Linked DNA regions of Arabidopsis thaliana. Each later gene encodes a partner of the first gene's protein in a complex. Each region holds a gene or a part of one and is shown in the gene's direction. Other genes may lie near its edges.

Region 1 (6,848 bases):
GGTTTTTGTGATGAATTATAACTATGGATGTTATTGAAATTATGAACATAATATAAGATATAGATTCATATCGGATTCTTGTTGTCTCTATTTGTAGTCTTCTTTTGATACACCGAGAGGCAACGAACCACTGGCTTTGGACATGAACACAATGGGGAAAGGTCAAGTTTGGGTAAATGGACATAACATTGGACGCCACTGGCCTGCCTACACGGCTCGTGGGAACTGTGGACGTTGCAACTATGCTGGAATTTACAACGAGAAGAAATGTCTCAGTCACTGTGGTGAACCTTCTCAAAGATGGTGAGAAAAAAGAAACAATATCCTTCTCTTCTTCTTATTTGGTCTAAAATCTAATTCACATGATTGATTTATTAATGTTTTAGGTACCATGTACCTCGTTCATGGCTAAAACCGTTTGGGAACCTTCTAGTTATATTTGAGGAATGGGGTGGTGATCCAAGTGGAATCTCTCTTGTTAAAAGGACAGCCAAATGAAGCTTCTTACTTCAAATTTTTTCCGGAAGCATGCAGAGATTGTCATGTACAGATATAGTTGCATTCATTGGCTCATTGTGGAAGAATATTATATATATATGTATCCTGCTCTAAAAATGTATTACAATTGTATAAAATAATATTTATACAATAGACCAAAACAAGCCAATCTCAATCACCCCATAAGAGGGGTTCTTCTTCAGGCTTGATCAACTACCCCTTCCTGATTGCTCTAACGTAACTAATAATCATTTTAGCCTCCCATTTTGAAAGGATGAACCTTGGATTGGGTTCTGCACTTGAGAGTGGATGTATTGCATCATCCCATTTGAACCAATCAACATAAAGCTGGCACCAAGAGAATCAATCAAAAGGTCACATTTTAAGTGACATATTAGTAGAAAAACGGCTAGACTTAAACCACATAACGTACCACATATGGATAAAAGTTAGCATGTTCCATCATTCTACGAATGGTCTTTCTCTCCTCTTCAGTCAGCTCCACTTCCTCGTCATTATATTCATCATGAATCTTGCCCCTAAGCCCCATAAATTGCATCACCATAATGCAACTAAATAACAAACTATATATAAAAATAAACAGAAAAGTCTTCAAACTGACCAATTCTTGGAGTCATCATTAGTTTATCTCGCATTTCTTTCTTGGTAATCTTCTTCCCAATGATGTCATAATCAATATGTTTCTCATCCTTATACCACTCCAAGGGAACATCCCCAAATCTATTTCTTGGAGCAACCTACACATCAAAGATTTCGTTTGGAAATGGAGAAAAGATAGTTACAAAATCTAGAATGAATAGATAAAGCATCAACCTCATCGGCGACTTCATCTTGCTCAGAACCTTGGTCACTTCCATATTCCTCACCATCTACTTGTTCACCATCATCATCATCATTATCATCTGATCCCTCATGACCTAATACATGTAGATGCCGGCACAATTACTCGCTCTCTCTCTATTACTTGCAACATACTAGAGCTAGAATCCCTATCACCCCATAAATGTTCATTATAATCTCCCACAAGTATCAAACTATAATAAACCTATATTTGATGAATGTGGTGGTGGTGACCCAAGTGGGATCTCTCTTGTAAAAAGAACAGCCAATTGAAGCAAGCATTTGTGTGGTTTACAAAATCATGCATAGATTGTCATGTATAGATATAGTCACATTTATTGGCTCATTGTGGAAGAATGTTACATGTATCCATGCTCTAATAATGTATTCCTAGTGTATGAAATAACTATTCACAAAATAAACCAAAACATCAAATCTTTTTTACCAATCTTTTGAATAGTTATTTCACTTGAGCTCTGATCAACATTTTTTATGGTATGGTAAAAAATCCACCTCTCAGATAAAGCATCACATCAGATGAAACACGAATTTTCTTTTTCAGTACCGTCAGATTAAAAGATTGCCCACACGTGTTTCCCGTTTACTCTTCTTAGATTCTTATTCAATTTGTACAAACTCTTTTTTTACATATCCACGTTTCCGGAAACGACAAAGAAGAACAATTCAATAAAGTGATAAACCCTTCTCCATTCCTAAATTAAAATAATTAATTAACTCTTAACATTCATGAATCTCTAATCCTAATCACCATTAATAATTTATCCATTAGATTAAATCTTCTTTCTTCTCTTCCTTAACTTAGAAGACTCTTAAATCTAATAACTCTGTTCACTTCCTTCACACGAATCAAAAACAAAAAGCTTCGTACATTTCGCCTAGCTTTCTTCGTTCTAGGGTTTCGGATCTTACTTAATTACCCAAAACCCTTGAATCCATTACTCTGTGTGAGCTTAAATCTCTTACCTTTTATCACTTTCAATCGATTGGGTATTAAGTTGTAAAGGAAGGAACTTGGAATCATGAAGCTTGGGCTTTTCACTCTCTCGTTTCTTCTGATCTTGAATCTAGCAATGGGTAGATTCGTTGTTGAGAAGAACAATCTCAAAGTTACATCACCTGATTCGATCAAAGGTATTTACGAATGTGCCATTGGTAATTTCGGAGTTCCTCAATACGGTGGTACTTTAGTCGGCACCGTCGTCTATCCTAAATCCAATCAGAAAGCTTGTAAAAGCTACTCCGATTTCGATATCTCCTTCAAATCCAAACCTGGACGATTACCAACTTTTGTCCTTATCGATCGTGGAGGTTCGATTTCAAAGTTCTTACCTTTTTAGTTGTTCCCTTAATTGGGTATTCAAAAGATCTGTTTTTGATTCAATTTTGGAACTGAATTTTGTTTTCAGATTGTTACTTCACTTTGAAAGCATGGATAGCTCAACAAGCTGGAGCAGCAGCGATACTTGTAGCTGATAGTAAAGCTGAGCCATTGATTACAATGGATACACCTGAAGAAGATAAATCTGATGCGGATTATCTTCAGAACATTACCATTCCTTCTGCTCTCATTACTAAAACATTGGGAGACAGTATAAAGTCTGCTCTTTCCGGTGGTGATATGGTTAACATGAAGCTAGATTGGACTGAGTCGGTTCCACATCCTGATGAGCGTGTAGAGTATGAACTGTGGACTAATAGCAATGACGAGTGTGGGAAGAAGTGTGATACTCAGATTGAGTTTCTCAAGAATTTTAAAGGAGCTGCTCAGATTCTTGAGAAAGGTGGGCATACTCAGTTCACGCCACATTATATTACTTGGTACTGTCCTGAAGCGTTTACGTTGAGTAAACAGTGTAAGTCTCAGTGCATCAACCATGGAAGGTATTGTGCGCCTGATCCTGAGCAGGATTTTACGAAAGGGTATGATGGAAAGGATGTTGTTGTTCAGAATCTACGTCAGGCTTGTGTCTACAGAGTGATGAATGATACCGGTAAGCCGTGGGTCTGGTGGGACTATGTGACTGACTTTGCTATCCGGTGTCCAATGAAGGAGAAGAAGTACACCAAGGAATGCGCAGATGGAATTATTAAGTCCCTTGGTGAGTATAATGCTTCATTACTTCGATGGTATTTGCTCCTGTGGTATCATTTAATTAACATATTACCTGTGGCTAGAAATTAGTCTAGAAACTGAATAGTATTTTCAGATATCAGCTCATCCATAATATAGAACAACCAATTGATTGATTTAAATGAGCTTACCTTGTATGGCCTTCTTGAATCCTTATATTCACCAAGTGGATATTTTGTTACTTTCAAATTTGTGCATTTCATCCTAAATTTTCTGACTATCAGCTATATATGCATTCAGGCATTGATCTCAAAAAGGTGGACAAGTGTATCGGAGACCCTGAAGCAGATGTGGAGAACCCAGTTCTTAAAGCAGAGCAGGAGTCACAGGTTTGCCTTTTTGTAACTAATTGGCTCTTACACGTCTTCCCAAGATCTTGTTGGTTTTAAGTTGCCATATATTCTCCATTCCTCGAGGTGTTCTTAAAATGAGTCTACTTCAATTTCAGATAGGCAAAGGTTCCCGTGGAGACGTGACTATACTCCCAACTCTTGTCGTGAACAACAGACAATACAGAGGTATTGGGGAAATGTTGACTTGTCAGTTTTTCCTCCCTTTCTACAGCATCTTTCTTATGTTTTTGCTAATTGAATTATCTTTCATGCTTTTAGGTAAATTGGAAAAGGGGGCAGTGCTTAAGGCTATGTGTTCGGGTTTTCAAGAGTCAACGGAACCAGCTATCTGTCTTACTGAAGGTACTATTATCCACGACATTTGCAACTCTATTTTTTTTAACAGAAACCACAGTTCTCTTGATAGGCCAATATATATTTTCAAAACTTGCATTAGAGCTATCCTTAATTCTTTATCTATTGTTTTATATCATGGGAGAGAAGGATAGTTTTCAGACATGCTTCTGATTTTTGCAGATTTGGAAACTAATGAATGTTTGGAAAACAACGGTGGATGCTGGCAAGACAAAGCTGCCAACATTACTGCATGCAGGGTATCATTTGGGCATGCTATTCTTTTCATTTTCTAACTTTTGGTTTTGTTGTTGCTACTATGACTGATTACTCTTATTTGGTATGAATCGGCATTTTAGGATACTTTTAGGGGAAGATTGTGTGAGTGCCCTACTGTTCAAGGTGTTAAATTCGTTGGTGACGGTTACACTCACTGCAAAGGTAAATTATTTTTTATTTGTGTAGCTTAACATGTTTTGTGTGGAACAAGATACAGAACAATGCCATACCCTCTGCTTAGCTTCTGTATTCCACAAGTATTTGTTACTGGTAGTCAAACAATACTCTGATTTGTCCCTTGTCGATATTTTCTTGGAATCAACTTAGATGGTCTATTTGTTGATTTGTACCACCTGCGAGTATAATATCAAGATTGATAAATAAAATTGTCACAATCATTGATTAAATTTTACTTTGAAAAAGTTTACACTTGAAGAAATTCGTTGATGTGACTGAGTGGAAACATTCTAATGTTTTTTATGCAGTTCTACTGAATTTTCCCCTTTGCGTATATCATAAGTTGTCTTACTATAATCTTTGTTAATGTGCATTTTCTGTATCCATATGTTATTTCACTTGGCAGCCTCTGGAGCTTTGCATTGTGGTATCAACAATGGAGGATGCTGGAGAGAATCCCGAGGTGGCTTCACTTACTCTGCTTGCGTAGTAAGTATTTCGCTTCTATGTCAATGTGTTTGAACAATCATCTTCTTAACCTAAAATAAAACTTCTTTCGTTCTTGAAATGGATTTTTCAGGATGATCATTCAAAGGATTGCAAATGCCCACTTGGGTTCAAGGGCGATGGAGTGAAGAACTGTGAAGGTACTTGCTAAGTATTATTTACAAAATATATGCATGTGGTCTACTTGCATATATAAAGAGCTCTATGTCGATTTATTTAGTAGGCATCACTAGTAACATGCTATTAGCCTATTGTTTATATGCATGCATGTCGGTCTAGAATATTTAGTGCAGATACACAATTATCAGTGGAATTTTTTATTGTACTCAATCAAAGAAGTGAGATCATTGTTAAACGTCAAATTCAAATTCATAATCATATTCTTTTGATTGAATGTGTTAGATGTGGACGAGTGCAAAGAAAAAACGGTGTGCCAGTGCCCAGAGTGTAAATGTAAAAACACTTGGGGAAGTTATGAATGCAGCTGCAGCAACGGTTTGCTTTACATGCGTGAGCACGACACTTGCATAGGTAAAAGAAATAGATCTTCCTTCCTCCTAGCCCCATACTTAATTTGGAGTCATTAATCAGACTTTCTGCTTTTGAATCTGGTGAATGTGTAGGTTCAGGCAAAGTTGGAACCACAAAACTCAGCTGGAGCTTTTTGTGGATCCTTATAATCGGGGTGGGTGTTGCAGGTCTTTCTGGATATGCAGTCTACAAATACAGAATCAGGGTATACGATGTTCTTTACTCTGGTCTTGTTATCATATTAAAACATAGGAAGATTTTGCGGTCTAGATAGAGATGCTAAGTAACAATTGAAATTATGCAGAGTTACATGGATGCGGAAATTAGAGGGATCATGGCACAGTACATGCCATTGGAAAGTCAACCACCCAACACAAGTGGTCACCATATGGATATATGAGTGAAGTTATCAACACAAGCCAAGAGACTCTCTCTCTTTCTATGAGTAGCTTTAAGTTTCCATGTAAATGAATCAATGGACTTGATACAACTCTAGAGAAAAGAAAAAAGCCACAAACAGAAATAAGTGTACCTGCACTATTTGTAAGAAATGTGGATTTGCAGATGGAATCTCCTTTTTGTCTGCATATTACTCTTACAATGTAAAATAGACATAACTGGATGAATAATGAGTGTTACATTATTTACTGTTGAAACTAACTTAAGATCCATAAGAAGAAAAACAATAAACTTTGATTGAGAGATTGTTAAACTTTCTCCAGCTCATCTCTGTGTTTCTCAATCTGTTCTTTCACAAGCTTCTGCGACTCTTGGAAAAGCCTCATGTGCTTCTTTATAAGCTCATCTTTTGTCTTAAGCTCTTCCTCCATTACTGCAATATCCTGTTAAGAACAGAACAGAAGAGAGCAGAAACTGGTAAGACAATATGTGTTTGGAGTTTTCACATTGGTAAATCAAACCACACCTTCTTAAGGCTTTCAGCTCTCGAGGGCGCGCGATCTTCTCGCTTTAGTCCCATGAAGTAAAGCTGAAGCTTTTTCGCAGCTTCCATGAAATCTCTGGCGTGCCGCTCCACATCAACTGCAGCAGTTCAATGAGGGGAATTAAGCTAGAACATCGAATATGGAATCAAAGCTTCGGTTTCAACTGAATTCTAAGCACAAAATTCACTGAGATCATAAGTTAAGCACAAAAAC
Region 2 (4,893 bases), on another chromosome or scaffold:
TGTAATATGTTGACATTACCGTGAATACAAAAATATAGATGCTATTCATATATACATTGTACACACGAAGATGTAGACATGTATGTGAAATGTAAGTGTTTGTTTCATTGTATGGTGCAAAAAGAAGAAATTCAATGGACAAAAGTACAAGGCTGGCTAAGTGACAGCCTGGGATGAACAAGTTGGCATATGGTGGAATTCTTATATTTTTTTCTGTATAATGTAGTGTTATATTATGACATTAACAGGTCGTTTAAGGAAGAAAATATATTTTGTAAATTTGTGATCACAAAAATTTAATTTATCGGGAATATGCTTTTAGTCAAGTGGTTAAGTCTATTTGATTATGTTTTTTTTACTGGAATTCGATTCCACTAAATTGTGTTATCCTATATAGTAAAAATTGTCTATAAATCGGACCTTGTCGATCCAAAAAAATAGTTTATTTGTTTGAACCCTTTTGATCGATGATTACCAACTGTTTTGAAGATCAGCATTCAACTTAACAATTTGTTTTGGTAGAATGTTTAGTCGGTTTGATTAAATGGTTAAATCGGTTCAAAACACGTTAAGGCAGTCACAATAAAAAGTTATTAACCGATGATTTCGAGCCGTTTCACCAGTTAGCAATCAACCAAACAATTGTTTGACACATTTTATTTTTTTTGGTTATGGCCTTTTGGGTTTGATACAAAAAAGTTTGTTAAAGCGGTTTAAAGATTTTTTCTCACAGTTACAAGAAGCAAATAAAATAGTCTAGAAACTACTAGGTATCAACTTAATTATCATAAATGATTCTTGGTGTAGCGTCATTTACATGTGAAGCATATATCTCGTGTTGCTCTCAATATCCCTTTATAAAAGTACATGATGCTTTTCTCTTGGCCAAACGGCATGTAGTTGAAGAGCACAAGAAAATTGAATTGAACAAACATAGAGCGTCCAATACTGGACCATGGAGATGTACCGCTTGGGCTATTAGACTATCAGGCCACCTTGTATATATATAATCCATTACCTATTATTGTCATGCTACCTTGTAATCTTGTATATAGATCCATTAGAAACTAGACCTAAGCACAATAAAAGATATATATTCTAGTCAATTTTGATCACAATTTGGAGTTTCATAGTTTTAAGTTTTCATTGTTTCTCTCTTTATAATAACAAAATCAGCCTTAACAAAAAAGAATTTGATAAAAATTATGCTATACATATAGCGTTTAAATCCGCATAAAAAACATAATGTATATACAACGTTTTGTAAGATCTATTCACTCTTAACACTGAAGATTTTTTTAACTCAATACAATGTAACTAAAGATAAACTAGAATAACTTACAATTTCATATATATACATGTATCTACATATGAAAGAATTTTCAAAGGGAAAGAACTCTTTTGAAAAATATAAATCTGAAAGGGGAAAAAATCTCAAGAAACTAAATTTTCAACAAAAAAAATTAAAAACTGTGGGAGATCAGATGATGAACAACATGCAACCGTACACTCGTCTCACAGCATGTTCGTCGCGTCCGCCACATCTCTCACGTGTGTCTCAGCTGTTTCCTGTCGCCACGTCTTTTCACTCGATCGTCTTTTTATAGTTTACCATTATCTAATAATGCGTATAAACTTTTTATCATTTGCACGTATCAATAATTGATCATCAAAGACTTTCGTAATCGTAACATAAAACATTTTCTCAATTCGTATGTGACAGTTTTATATATATATATATATATATATTACGATAATAAAATAAAATAAACAATATGACCTATTACAAATACAAAAACAGAGAAATGAAACCGCTGTATATAATAAAATAAAGATTTGTCCTATTACAAATACAATGTGCCTATCTCAAAAGCTGATGTGTAAGAAACATGCACTTGAATAAGCCATGCAAATTGAAATGTGTCAACTCCATTTATTTTTTACAGAGTGAAGCCAAAATTCATTTTCGGATGAAGTCATAAATAGCAATTTAAGTGAAGTGTAAATTGTACATAGTCGACTCTATATACCTGGTTCTTATCTCATTCAATTTATCCTCAACAACTTTAATAGAAAAATATCAAATAAATTCCCTATAAATAGCTTCACATAATGCAAGTGAGAAACCACAAAAAGTAAGAAATATAAGAAATAACAAAATGGCTCGAGTCTCTTCTCTTCTTTCTTTCTGCTTAACACTTTTGATCCTTTTCCATGGCTACGCGGCTCAACAGGGTCAGCAGGGTCAGCAGTTTCCGAACGAGTGCCAGCTCGACCAGCTCAATGCGCTCGAGCCGTCACACGTACTGAAGAGCGAGGCTGGTCGCATCGAGGTGTGGGACCACCACGCTCCTCAGCTCCGTTGCTCAGGTGTCTCCTTTGCACGTTACATCATCGAGTCTAAGGGTCTCTACTTGCCCTCTTTCTTTAACACCGCGAAGCTCTCTTTCGTGGCTAAGGGTACGTACGACTCTTTCTATATCGAAATTCGAATTCATGACTTTATGGTTCATGCTCTTTAGGATTAGTCCATAATCTTTCAACTTTAATTAAACCTATATAATTTATGTGTTACATTCTTAGGACGAGGTCTTATGGGAAAAGTGATCCCTGGATGCGCCGAAACATTCCAAGACTCATCAGAGTTCCAACCACGCTTCGAAGGTCAAGGTCAAAGCCAGAGGTTCCGTGACATGCACCAGAAAGTGGAGCACATTAGGAGCGGTGATACCATTGCCACAACACCCGGTGTAGCACAGTGGTTCTACAACGACGGACAGGAACCACTTGTCATCGTCAGCGTCTTCGATCTAGCCAGTCACCAGAACCAGCTTGACCGCAACCCAAGGGTATATATATATATATATATATATATATATATATATATATAACAAAACCTCATTACAAAAGAATCATTATATTAATTACAAATTAACAAAAATAATATGGTTTATTCTTTTTGGTATTTTATGAATGAAGCCATTTTACTTAGCCGGAAACAACCCACAAGGTCAAGTATGGCTACAAGGACGAGAGCAACAGCCACAGAAGAACATTTTCAATGGATTTGGACCCGAGGTTATTGCTCAAGCTTTGAAGATCGATCTTCAGACAGCACAGCAACTTCAGAACCAAGATGACAACCGTGGAAACATTGTCCGAGTCCAAGGACCGTTCGGTGTCATTAGGCCGCCTTTGAGGGGCCAGAGACCTCAGGAGGAGGAAGAAGAAGAAGGACGACATGGACGACACGGTAATGGCTTAGAGGAGACCATCTGCAGCGCCAGGTGCACCGATAACCTCGATGACCCGTCTCGTGCTGACGTGTACAAGCCACAGCTCGGTTACATCAGCACTCTCAACAGTTACGATCTCCCCATCCTTCGCTTCATCCGTCTCTCAGCCCTCCGTGGATCTATCCGTCAAGTAAGTAAACATAAATATTATGTTACTATAACCTAGTAAAATATGCATGCCTGATGCATGTTAATATGTCCATTTCTATATTTAAACATGACTCTTGAAACGTGTGTGGGTGTAGAACGCAATGGTGCTTCCACAGTGGAACGCAAACGCGAACGCTATTCTTTACGTGACAGACGGGGAAGCCCAAATCCAGATCGTAAACGACAATGGTAACAGAGTGTTTGACGGACAAGTCTCTCAAGGACAGCTCATAGCCGTACCACAAGGTTTCTCGGTGGTGAAACGCGCAACAAGCAACCGATTCCAGTGGGTTGAGTTCAAAACAAACGCTAACGCGCAAATCAACACTCTGGCGGGACGAACCTCAGTCTTGAGAGGTTTACCACTTGAAGTCATAACCAATGGGTTCCAAATCTCACCCGAAGAAGCAAGGAGGGTCAAGTTCAACACGCTCGAGACCACTTTGACTCACAGCAGTGGCCCAGCTAGCTACGGAAGGCCAAGGGTGGCTGCAGCTTAAGAGCTTAAAACTGCAGCTTAACAATGAACCTCGAGTACTGTAAAAGGAAGTTAAACAGTACGTAGTAATAATAATAATGTACGAAAATGTGACTAGTTTTGTTGAGGTTTACCTGTAAAATGCAACTCCTTTTCTGAATAAAATCTTTTCAATTTTCGATCAAGTTAATACAAATCTAGGTCTAAATTAGGTTCTTAATCATAGAGACTAGTTCTGATTTTTATGATTTAATACATTTGAATCATCATATTATTTTATATAATAATCCAATATTAACATTAGACAAGTCGCCAAAATATTGTCATGCTTAACAAATTTATATTACCTCATTTTCTTTATCTATTTATAATACATCAAATGCTTTAATTTTAATTTCAAATATCTAATTTAATCCGTGCATAATTTTTTCAATAAAATAACAGTGTTTTTATCTAATTAATAAATAAATAATTTGTGGGACCTTGTAAACATATTTACCATATATTATTATTTAAATTAATAATTAGATTTATTAATGAAAACTGACGTAACGCCGTCGTTTTAATTCTTTGTCGGTGAGCAACATAGAGTGACGTGGCAGCTATCTGCTGGTTAAACGTATTAGCGGAAGACTAAAGTATGTAAATCTAATGGACAGAAAAGTACATAACGTGGCCGAAATCTAATGGCTAATAAGGTCTTTGTTTAAAACGGAACGTATTTAAAGGCCAACAGATTAAGCAGAGGAGTTATACTTTACTACTTACTAATCTCTCCCTCTCTCTATCTGACTCTTTGATCGGAAAAAATGGCGGAGAAAAATGCGAGCGCGGTGGACGGTGCAATTAGGGTTAGTGGAATGCAGTTTTCTTACGATGTTCAAGATCCTATTTTCTTCGATTTTAATCTCGATCTTCCCGCTGGATCTCGTTGCCTCTTGGTTGGTGCCAATGGATCTGGTAAAAATT

Evidence for each region.
Region 2: the proteins of VSR1 (region 1) and CRA1 are in contact, whole or in part, in a crystal structure (PDB 7F2D), measured with the Arabidopsis thaliana proteins. Residues at the interface, in NP_190853.1 of Arabidopsis thaliana: Arg95 (codon at 2,682), Gly96 (codon at 2,685), Cys98 (codon at 2,789), Tyr99 (codon at 2,792), Phe100 (codon at 2,795), Leu125 (codon at 2,870), Ile126 (codon at 2,873), Thr127 (codon at 2,876), Met128 (codon at 2,879), Asp129 (codon at 2,882), Thr130 (codon at 2,885), Pro131 (codon at 2,888); in NP_199225.1 of Arabidopsis thaliana: Arg468 (codon at 3,929), Val469 (codon at 3,932), Ala470 (codon at 3,935), Ala471 (codon at 3,938), Ala472 (codon at 3,941).

Annotation. Positions count from the first base shown.
Region 1 is NC_003074.8:19,585,600-19,592,447, forward strand, and holds VSR1 (vacuolar sorting receptor homolog 1), read left to right. Parts: upstream 1-2,156; 5' UTR 2,157-2,399; coding exon 2,400-2,688; intron 2,689-2,786; coding exon 2,787-3,479; intron 3,480-3,751; coding exon 3,752-3,840; intron 3,841-3,959; coding exon 3,960-4,029; intron 4,030-4,122; coding exon 4,123-4,206; intron 4,207-4,380; coding exon 4,381-4,457; intron 4,458-4,556; coding exon 4,557-4,638; intron 4,639-5,059; coding exon 5,060-5,142; intron 5,143-5,233; coding exon 5,234-5,300; intron 5,301-5,562; coding exon 5,563-5,691; intron 5,692-5,783; coding exon 5,784-5,896; intron 5,897-5,995; coding exon 5,996-6,091; 3' UTR 6,092-6,348; downstream 6,349-6,848. Other genes in the region: BGAL2 (beta-galactosidase 2), read left to right, coding at 98-303, 387-498; AT3G52860 (mediator of RNA polymerase II transcription subunit-like protein), read right to left, coding at 6,399-6,533, 6,617-6,732.
Region 2 is NC_003076.8:17,755,513-17,760,405, reverse strand, and holds CRA1 (RmlC-like cupins superfamily protein), read left to right. Parts: upstream 1-2,069; 5' UTR 2,070-2,159; coding exon 2,160-2,460; exon of another isoform or gene 2,461-2,464; intron 2,465-2,583; coding exon 2,584-2,849; exon of another isoform or gene 2,850-2,973; coding exon of another isoform or gene 2,974-2,979; coding exon 2,980-3,426; intron 3,427-3,541; coding exon 3,542-3,946; 3' UTR 3,947-4,168; downstream 4,169-4,893. Other genes in the region: ABCI21 (P-loop containing nucleoside triphosphate hydrolases superfamily protein), read left to right, coding at 4,734-4,884. UniProt on the Arabidopsis thaliana protein: Seed storage protein.